Nothobranchius furzeri: one gene and its partner. The protein of the gene in region 1 interacts with the protein of each later gene in a biochemical or structural test. Links are inferred from orthologs where the notes say so. Each region holds a gene or a part of one and is shown in the gene's direction. Other genes may lie near its edges.

The links. The genes of interacting proteins can lie anywhere in the genome.
Region 2: the proteins of nedd4a (region 1) and ndfip2 form a complex in vitro, tested with the Homo sapiens proteins (3 studies listed by BioGRID, with this or other methods). The link is inferred for Nothobranchius furzeri from reciprocal best matches to the Homo sapiens genes NEDD4 and NDFIP2.

What each region holds. Positions count from the first base shown.
Region 1 is NC_091749.1:60,023,890-60,028,137, forward strand, and holds the start of nedd4a (E3 ubiquitin-protein ligase NEDD4), read left to right. Parts: upstream 1-1,448; 5' UTR 1,449-1,655; coding exon 1,656-2,945; intron 2,946-4,248. UniProt on the Homo sapiens protein: E3 ubiquitin-protein ligase which accepts ubiquitin from an E2 ubiquitin-conjugating enzyme in the form of a thioester and then directly transfers the ubiquitin to targeted substrates. Specifically ubiquitinates 'Lys-63' in target proteins.
Region 2 is NC_091754.1:54,373,735-54,377,692, reverse strand, and holds the start of ndfip2 (NEDD4 family-interacting protein 2), read left to right. Parts: upstream 1-1,158; 5' UTR 1,159-1,308; coding exon 1,309-1,335; intron 1,336-3,958. UniProt on the Homo sapiens protein: Activates HECT domain-containing E3 ubiquitin-protein ligases, including ITCH, NEDD4, NEDD4L, SMURF2, WWP1 and WWP2, and consequently modulates the stability of their targets. As a result, may control many cellular processes.

The sequences.
Region 1 (4,248 bases):
TACTAAAAATCTTTACATAGTAGTAATAAGGAAAAGATTTGCTGTAGAACAAAGATCAACACAGATCAAGCAGCTCCTTCAGCCACTCGGAAATGGAACCAAACTGAGAACATTGATGTACAAACTGGACTTTTACAAATTGCCTTCTCACTCTTTTAACCTGTTGTTTATTATTAAATTAGTAGAATTTTCCCCTAAATTGTTCAAAATAGTCTGTACTGTAGAGGATTAAAAACTTGAACTGTTTTAAAAACATTCAAGAACTAAACCATCGATGTAGCATATTCCAGATTAGATGCTGCATACAAACAGTAACTGTTACACAGTGACTGAGAGGTTGGTTAAATACCTAAAAGTAAATAAACACAGCTTAAGAAACTAGTTCATCCACCTGCTGCACCTGCTGATTGATTTTTCCAGTCTTTACTCGAACCACACCTCTCTGACTCAGCTTGTAGTGACTACACAGCAGACTGGTTCTCTGAAAAGTTGATTAAATACCGCCTTTGTTTTTGTTCACTTTGATACCAAACTCATGGAGTTCTTAAGGGACGTGTCTCTGTATTATTGCCGCATGACGTCATTCTATATAAGCATTTGATATTGTATGGCCATTGCATTACTGTCACACGGTTCTGTTGGTTTAAAAAATAGGTTAGGAGTTCCACAGCGTCCTGCAGTGAGTCATGTCCTTATCCCGGCCGTGACTTCCATTATTATACTTTGGAAGCAAAGTAATGCCCTGAAATAGGTCAGGCAGCCTCACTGTTAATAAATTAAACTGTCAACATCTATGGAGAAGTAATAAGAGCAGCATTGACTGTTACATGAGGCATCAGATAACCAGTTTCATGACATTTATTTTTTCTTAAAACCTCACGTTTTTCTCATTAGGCAGCAGCTGTCCTGTTCCCTGCAGGAAATATTTAAAGTCACTGCTAAAACACTAAAAGGAGCTCTTGTGTTATCCTAATGAGCTCTGTGATTTACTGTCTGAAATGTGCTTTTGCAACCTGCTCCTTGGTTTGATGCAGAATTTTGTTGACATTCACTCGTTTGATTTCCTGTAATTCAATAGCAATGGGTAAAACTATTTGTGGGGCACAGAGCAGCAGAAACATTAGTAGCATAGCAGCAGCAGGAGTCCTGAGCGAATGGGCCAACGCAGATGTGACACTTTACCAGAGCTTCAGTCTAAAATGCAGCACGTTGGACTGTCATGCTTTTGTTTGTTTTTCTTTATTTTCAGAAGAAAAATGCTAATTTGTCTGTTTTTTTTTTTGGAGGCACAGTCGAGTTACGCTAGGCTTTTATTAGAATGCAAAGCTGAGGAAAAGGTTTTCCAATTATCTTTAGAGTAGCTTTGTTCTTCTTTATTGGGCCGAGGAATTTTAAAGGGGCTAATGGTTCGGTTTGAAAGGTCATGTGTTTGGGTCATGTCTCCAAACAGAACCACTGGCCTGCTCTGACTAAAAGCTGAGATCAGCCTGGAGAGGAATGTAGCTTGTCACCAGAGCTATTTTGGCAATGCGCAGCTACTAATGATTGTGATCACAGCGCATGGAGCTGTTGCGTTTGCTCTCGTTTTTTTTTTCCACCAGCAAGTTTGATCATGTACGTCTCGCCAGCCCTACAGGGATTAGTGAGTTGAACAAATGTCACATCAGCTCCGTTTGCATTTTGCGTCAAGGAGAAGCAACACGGACCCCCTGTCGGAAAGCCTCAGCAGCCAAGGTGAAGAGAGTGGAGTCAGTCTGTCGGCTCATGGCCCAGCGGAGAATCTGGCGCACAGCTCTGTTCACTTGAAGGTGACTCCTCTGTCACCAGACGTTGCCAGCAGTCAGTGCTCTTCAGTGTTCATACCCAGGGTTCACGCTGGAGGGTGTAATAAGAAGAGCGTTTTGCAAATTGCGCTGCAGCCCTGTGGGAAACTCGGTGGAAAACTGGATTGCAGTTTAGAAGATGGAGAACCAGGGGCTTGTGAAGTTGGAGCAGGTACCGGCTCTGACGGAGGTTCATGCAACAGCAGCATGGCCAGCGATGCGGGGTACTGTAGCAGCAGCAGCATCTTTGAGCCAGAGCTTCCAGAAAAGCACAGGACAATCCAGGAGAGGACTCTGCTTTGTCGCAAGTCCAAGGTCCCGCTGCGACGATGCTCCTCACTGATTATTATTCCGAAGAGCCCATGTAGCACTCCACCTGCTTCCCCAGGATGTGCTGTGACTCCGTTTGCTTACCCACTGCCAAAGGGTACTAATCAGTCACATCTTCAGACGTCTTTCAGTGATTTCTCCCAAGAGAAAGTAGGGGCGAGCTCCACTGTAGCAAGTGGACACCAAACATCAAAACGAAGCTGCTCATCTGAACTTAGGGACATGAAACACATGGTCCACTTTAATATTCCTCTACAGGATGGAACAAAATGCAAATCAGAAGGCAATAGCGCGTTGATGGAGCTTCCGTCAGCCTCAGACAGACCTAATCTTCACTCTAGCAGCGTGCTGCTGCATTTTGCCCACCAGAAACCAACAGTATCTACCAAGGGAGTTGTGGAAATGGTTGCAGCCAACGAAGCTCACCACCAAGTTCACCTATCTCAAAGGGAAAACATCAATCACAGAAAACTGTATCGCAGTACCTCTGCTTGTTTGTTTTCTTCATCCAAGCCATCAGAGAAAAACGATAAAAGCGGTTTGTCTGGAAAAGATCAAATCGGGCTTGGTGAAAAGCATCGTGCCATACAGAGGAGCTTTTCCCTCGAGGTGCCCTACCCTAACACTGGAATTTCATGCCACGTTTCTAACCCCGAGCTCTGCAGCCCTCGCTCCCCACATGTGCACATTCATTTATCCCCATGCTACCCCGGAAGGTTGCGAAGCTCTGTTACAGATGTTAAGAATCACAAAGAAAGTAATGCAGTAAAGGGTTCAGTTCAAAATGACAAGGTGAGTATGACATTTCTAACTCTTTAGAGGCTTTATATTGATCACCTAGTAGCCTTTTGTCAGCACTCTAGACCTGCTGCCACTGTTGTCAAACAAGTTTGAGTAGATTCCACTCCGTCATTGGTTCAGCCTCTCCTGCATCAATGTTCAGACATATCGAGAGTTTCTAATGAGTAGTATAAATAAACACCGCTTGATTAATTGTTTGTTGTAAACTTGCAGCTTTTAACTGATTGGTTGTTTTCATCAATGAAAATTTCTAAGTTCCAGTACACTGGAATAATGTCACCCTAAAGTCTTAAACTGTTTTTGCTTTGACTTTAGCATTAGACTGGTTACAAGACTTCTAGTAACTGAGAAGCCCTTTAACTTTAAGTCATGTATTTAACAAGCTGTGTGTGGACAAACATTCAGAGGTGTTCAGTTACATTACAGTAAATCCATCTGCATATTGGATACCAAGAAATGTGTAAATTAGAAAGACAGGTTCTCCATCTTGTGAATACCAGCATTCATCAGTGTGAAAACACAATTTCAGTAGAGTTTTCCACTTTTATTATTCTGTTAGCACTATAAGTGATCAGGTTAAGTATTTACCATGGCTATTTATAGAGTTGGGAAGCGCAGTGCCCCATGCCGATATAAATAAGGTGCCTCTGAAATATTCCCCCTGACTCCGGATAGTCTGCTGGTCTGTAGCACTGCCCAAAACCTGTGGATTCAAATTTAACAGCATGATACTAGAGTGGTGCACAGTCATGTCGGCTATCTGCGTACATGTGTGTGTGTGTGTGTGTGCTCGTTTCCAAGTAAACGGGTGGCGTGCTACCATCCCTGTGGGTCCCCCCACCAAGCAATGTTTGTGAAATATCAGCTGTCAGTCTCTTCCTGCGTTTAGCAGGTTGTCAAAGAGGGTCCACTTAAGACTTTTTAAATCTGCAAAGGTTTGTTTTCATATCCTTTTACTAGGGCTGAACGATTTTGGAAAACAATCTTAATTGCGATGTTTTCTTCAATACTGCAATTGTGATTGAATTCACGATTATTTTCTCAAGGGGTTTTTCTCATATTTTTCAACTAACGGAAGCAGAAAAAAAATGTAACTTGTACTGAATATAAACAAGTTTATGTATCTACATATGTATCTACATATCATATCAACAAGTTTATTTGTCTACACATCCATAAACACTCACAAGCCAAGACAAAATCTTGTATTCGAAGGTGCAATGCTTTGCAGCCAGGAGCACATCCCTTGAAGTCGCATAGGTATTGGCATCACCTGTGAAAATTTATTTGCAGG
Region 2 (3,958 bases), on another chromosome or scaffold:
AACAACAACAACAACAATAATAATAATAACAATGAAGTATGTCCATTAAAATTTTTCAGGATAAAGCAATCCCATTTTCATAATAATGTGTAATGCTATAGAACAAATTTGGTAATTCACAGTTGAGTACTGCTTTTGTAAAATTGTTACGTTTTAAAATATATTAATTAAGCTGAGTTTCATTTGTATAGCCAACAAGCACAATGATCACAGTGCTTTACAGAAAAAACCCCCAATAAAATTCAAATCAAGTTTAAGTAAATCTAGTAAAATAAAGGATTATTGTGATTTATCAATCTAATAAAATATAGTCAATTAGAATTCAAGAAATTATAACATCATGGATTAATGCAAAGCTAAAAATGCGGAATCATGAGATTTTTAACACACCAATGGTACCCAGGTGGGTGCAGGGGTGTCAGTTGTGAAACCCCAGGGATTAGTTATCTCGAATATTTTTATTAATCAAAATACCATACTATACCATTCTATTTTTATTTATATAGCGTGTTTAAAGATTGCATGGCAGCTAACCAATGGGGTGTGCGTGGAAGGAGCAAGATGCTCAGACAGAACAAAAACGGCGTTCCCAAAGTGACAAGAAACAAACATTAAAAATAATTATTTTGAAGTGATCATGAAATGTAAAAAAAAAAAAAAAAAAACCTAAATAATATTTTCAATGACATTATTTGCCTTTTTAAAACAGGGTTTATTTGTCTTGCTTAAATAGAATATGATGCCTCAGTGAACACCCATTGTGCTTTAGGGCATAGTGACTACTATTCTATTCTATTCTATTCTATTCCATTCTATTCTATCATATCATATTGTAGCATATCATAATCGCTGACTTTAGTATTTGTTAAAAATTGTAGCAATCTTGTTTTTTTACTCCAACCACGAAGTGCAAGTGGCTCTGTGCAGCTTTTTATTTTGTTTATGTCACCATAAATGTGTTAATTTTAATGCACTTTGATATATTCTTAAGCATTCTTTACCCCGTGTGTTTTGTTGCATTTAACGGAAAACGTTGGGAAAGTGTTTTACTTTGAAATGTCAGATCGGAAGCGCCCCCCCCCCCCCCCCCCCCCCCCCCCCCCTCCCAGCCTGGTTGACTGTTGCTCAACGTTGGCTTGTCTATTTTCCTCAGCGAGCTCATCGGGTCAGCAGCCATTTCTGTCGCCGTGTTTCTCCTCCTTTGTGGAATCAAATCTTTCCGTGACTGAGAACTCCGAGTGCATTCACAAGTCAGGCTCGTATTTTTGTTTTCTGGCCTGGCTTGTTTGCCGGCTGAATCTAGTCGGGATGGACCCAGCAAGCCGATACCAAGTGGTGAGTAAATCCCGAAGAGCAGGGATCAAAACAGTGGTGGATTACTCGGCCTTCTGCTTGAACCAAAACGGGCCTTGTTTTAGAAACATAAAAAAATATTTGCGCTTTAGTTGTTTAACTCCAACTTATTTTATTTACACATAAATACTCTCCAAAACCCTCTACCTAATTACTCTAGTCGTTTTTTATGTTTAACAAATAGCTTAAGTCTTTTGTTTTGATATGTGACAAACTACTTCCGCATTGGCTAAGCTAACATTAGCCGGCACGGCCTTACACGTTTGAAAAGATGTGTTTTTTTAAACAATTTATTTCCAAAATAGTTTTACAAAGTTTAAGGGACATTAAACAGTCCTTTTCACAATTTATGACAATATTAGATAAGCCTGATAGCACGTGTTTTAGCATAGAAGGGACTTTTTGAAGTTGCTTCCGTTATATATATAAAAAAGAAAAGTCCCGGAACATCTTAGGTGTGTTCTTGATGTGTCTTTCTAATTCCATGCTTTCGTTCTTTTTAAACACAGAAACAGTTTTGTTTACCTGTTTTGTAGAAAAGTCCCGGAGCGGAAACGATAGGCGTGTTTTTAAAGTGTCTGTTTACTTTGTAGATTTTAATTGCAGTACAATTTAAAAAAAAGGTACTTGAATATCAGGTGTGGTTTAGCTCAAACAAATACGTATCAGTTATTTTTAAACGGTGACATTTAATATAAAGTCAGTTTTTTTCTGCTTGTGGTTGTTTTTTTTTCTGTTGATTATCCCGCAGGGTAGCTCAACAACACACCAGCTTCCAGGAATTAGGTGGCCAGGGTCTTGACCGCCTCCTCTCAGCTTTCTGAGGGCTTGGGGGGGGGGGGGGGGGGGGGGTATTTGGACACAGAAGGCGGTTTGTGGCGGCGTTGTTAGCTTGTTATGTAACGCTTCATGCACTGATCCGTCCTTGGTTCAGAGCCACTCGTCCACTCACCGCCGGAAAGCAAATTCTCAACTTTATCATGACAAACACATCTCTGAAGCTTCTCCAGGTATTAGTCACATCCTTGGTTAGGACTAAGGGTGCTTCCCTTGTTTAGAGTTGAAAGAAAATTGCCCTTTCTTCATGCAGAACATTTTTTCACGATCCTTATTTTTTAAAGTCTACATCAGGACAGGACTATGCAAGAAGATTTGTTTTTCCAAAACTCTGACTTTTGTTGTTGCTATTTTTTTTGCAATTGTTTAGTGGCAGCTGCCTCCCTACTCACCCAGGAATTTGATTTAAGGCTACAAACAAGCTGAACTCCCTCAAGAAACGAGGTGGAAAAGTTTACCAACCTGCGTTATTTTTATTCAGACGAAGAAAATGTTAAAGATTGTGATTTTGATGTTCTCTCAGGGCTCCTTCCTGGCTTATCTTTGGTTTACGAATAGCGCTACGTGGTTATCTGTGGTTTTGGGTGACGTCTGATTCGGCCTCGAAGCGAATTTAGAGCTTAGAAACTGTGAAACCACAGTCTCATGCTCAGATTGTTGGGTAAAAGAAACAAAAATGTCCCATTGAGTCAGCTCGTCTCAGCTTTGTTGACACGTGAGAGTACAGACTTGCCTGTAGATGTTTTTCTTCTGAAGGTGAGAAGGACTTGTTCCCTCGCTTCACCCTCCCAGAGTTCATTCCAGGCACTCTACCCATCATGTCCCATCGCTCCTCTGTAATTTCAAACGGCTCTTGACTCTTAGAAGGAAAAATGGGCCTAACTTTGCAGCTGGGCCTCTTGGATTTGGCGGAACGCTTCATTTGGTGATTGCGTTTATGCAGATTGCTTTTCCAGAGACGTACCAACGTGGCCTCTGGTGTCCTAACGCGTCAAACGCTGCCAGTACTCCTGTATTTATTTATTTATTGGAGCAATCCTGTGATAATTCAGACCTTTTTTTTTTTTACATTAGCAGTAATTTATCAGCTGTTGACCTCACTTTTCACTTAACCAGGACACTTGGATTATGCGCAGATTAGCTTTACTGTTAACTCATTCACTGCCAGCCGTTTCCTGATCGCTAGTAGCCTTCGATGCCAGCGTTTCTCACCGTTTTTACTGTGTTTTTAAGAGTCACGGAACGTTGCGCGCTAGGATGATGTCGATGCCAAAACTAAGAGGAGACTCACCTCTTACATCAGGAAGAAGCCGTGTGTTTCGAGCGTTATCCGTTCTTTCATAATCCGTTGTCGACTTGTGATCGGCAGACGCTTTTCCGGTTCGCGCCTCACTTTTTTTACAGGAACGGCCCAAAACGATCTCCTAATACATGGATGTTCTGCTTCCTGATCACGTGACGTGTGACGCATGTGGATGAAGAACGGCTTCAGGGCTGAGATGTTTGTTCTCTCAGCGCGGGGGCTCGTTCCGATGCTCAAACAGTAAAAAAATGCAAATGACGACTTTAGTCGTCAATAGCAGTGAATGAGTTAATGCATCTTCCAAAAATCAATTCTAAGCTAGAGACGTGACGTTGATAAAGGTTTTAGTTCCACTTCAGCCCTAAATAATCACAATAGCAGCATAATTGATCCTAAAAAAGAGCAATATTTAAATTATCTTCTCATATTTTACAAGCATCCAGCGGCCTAGAAGTCTAGACAAAC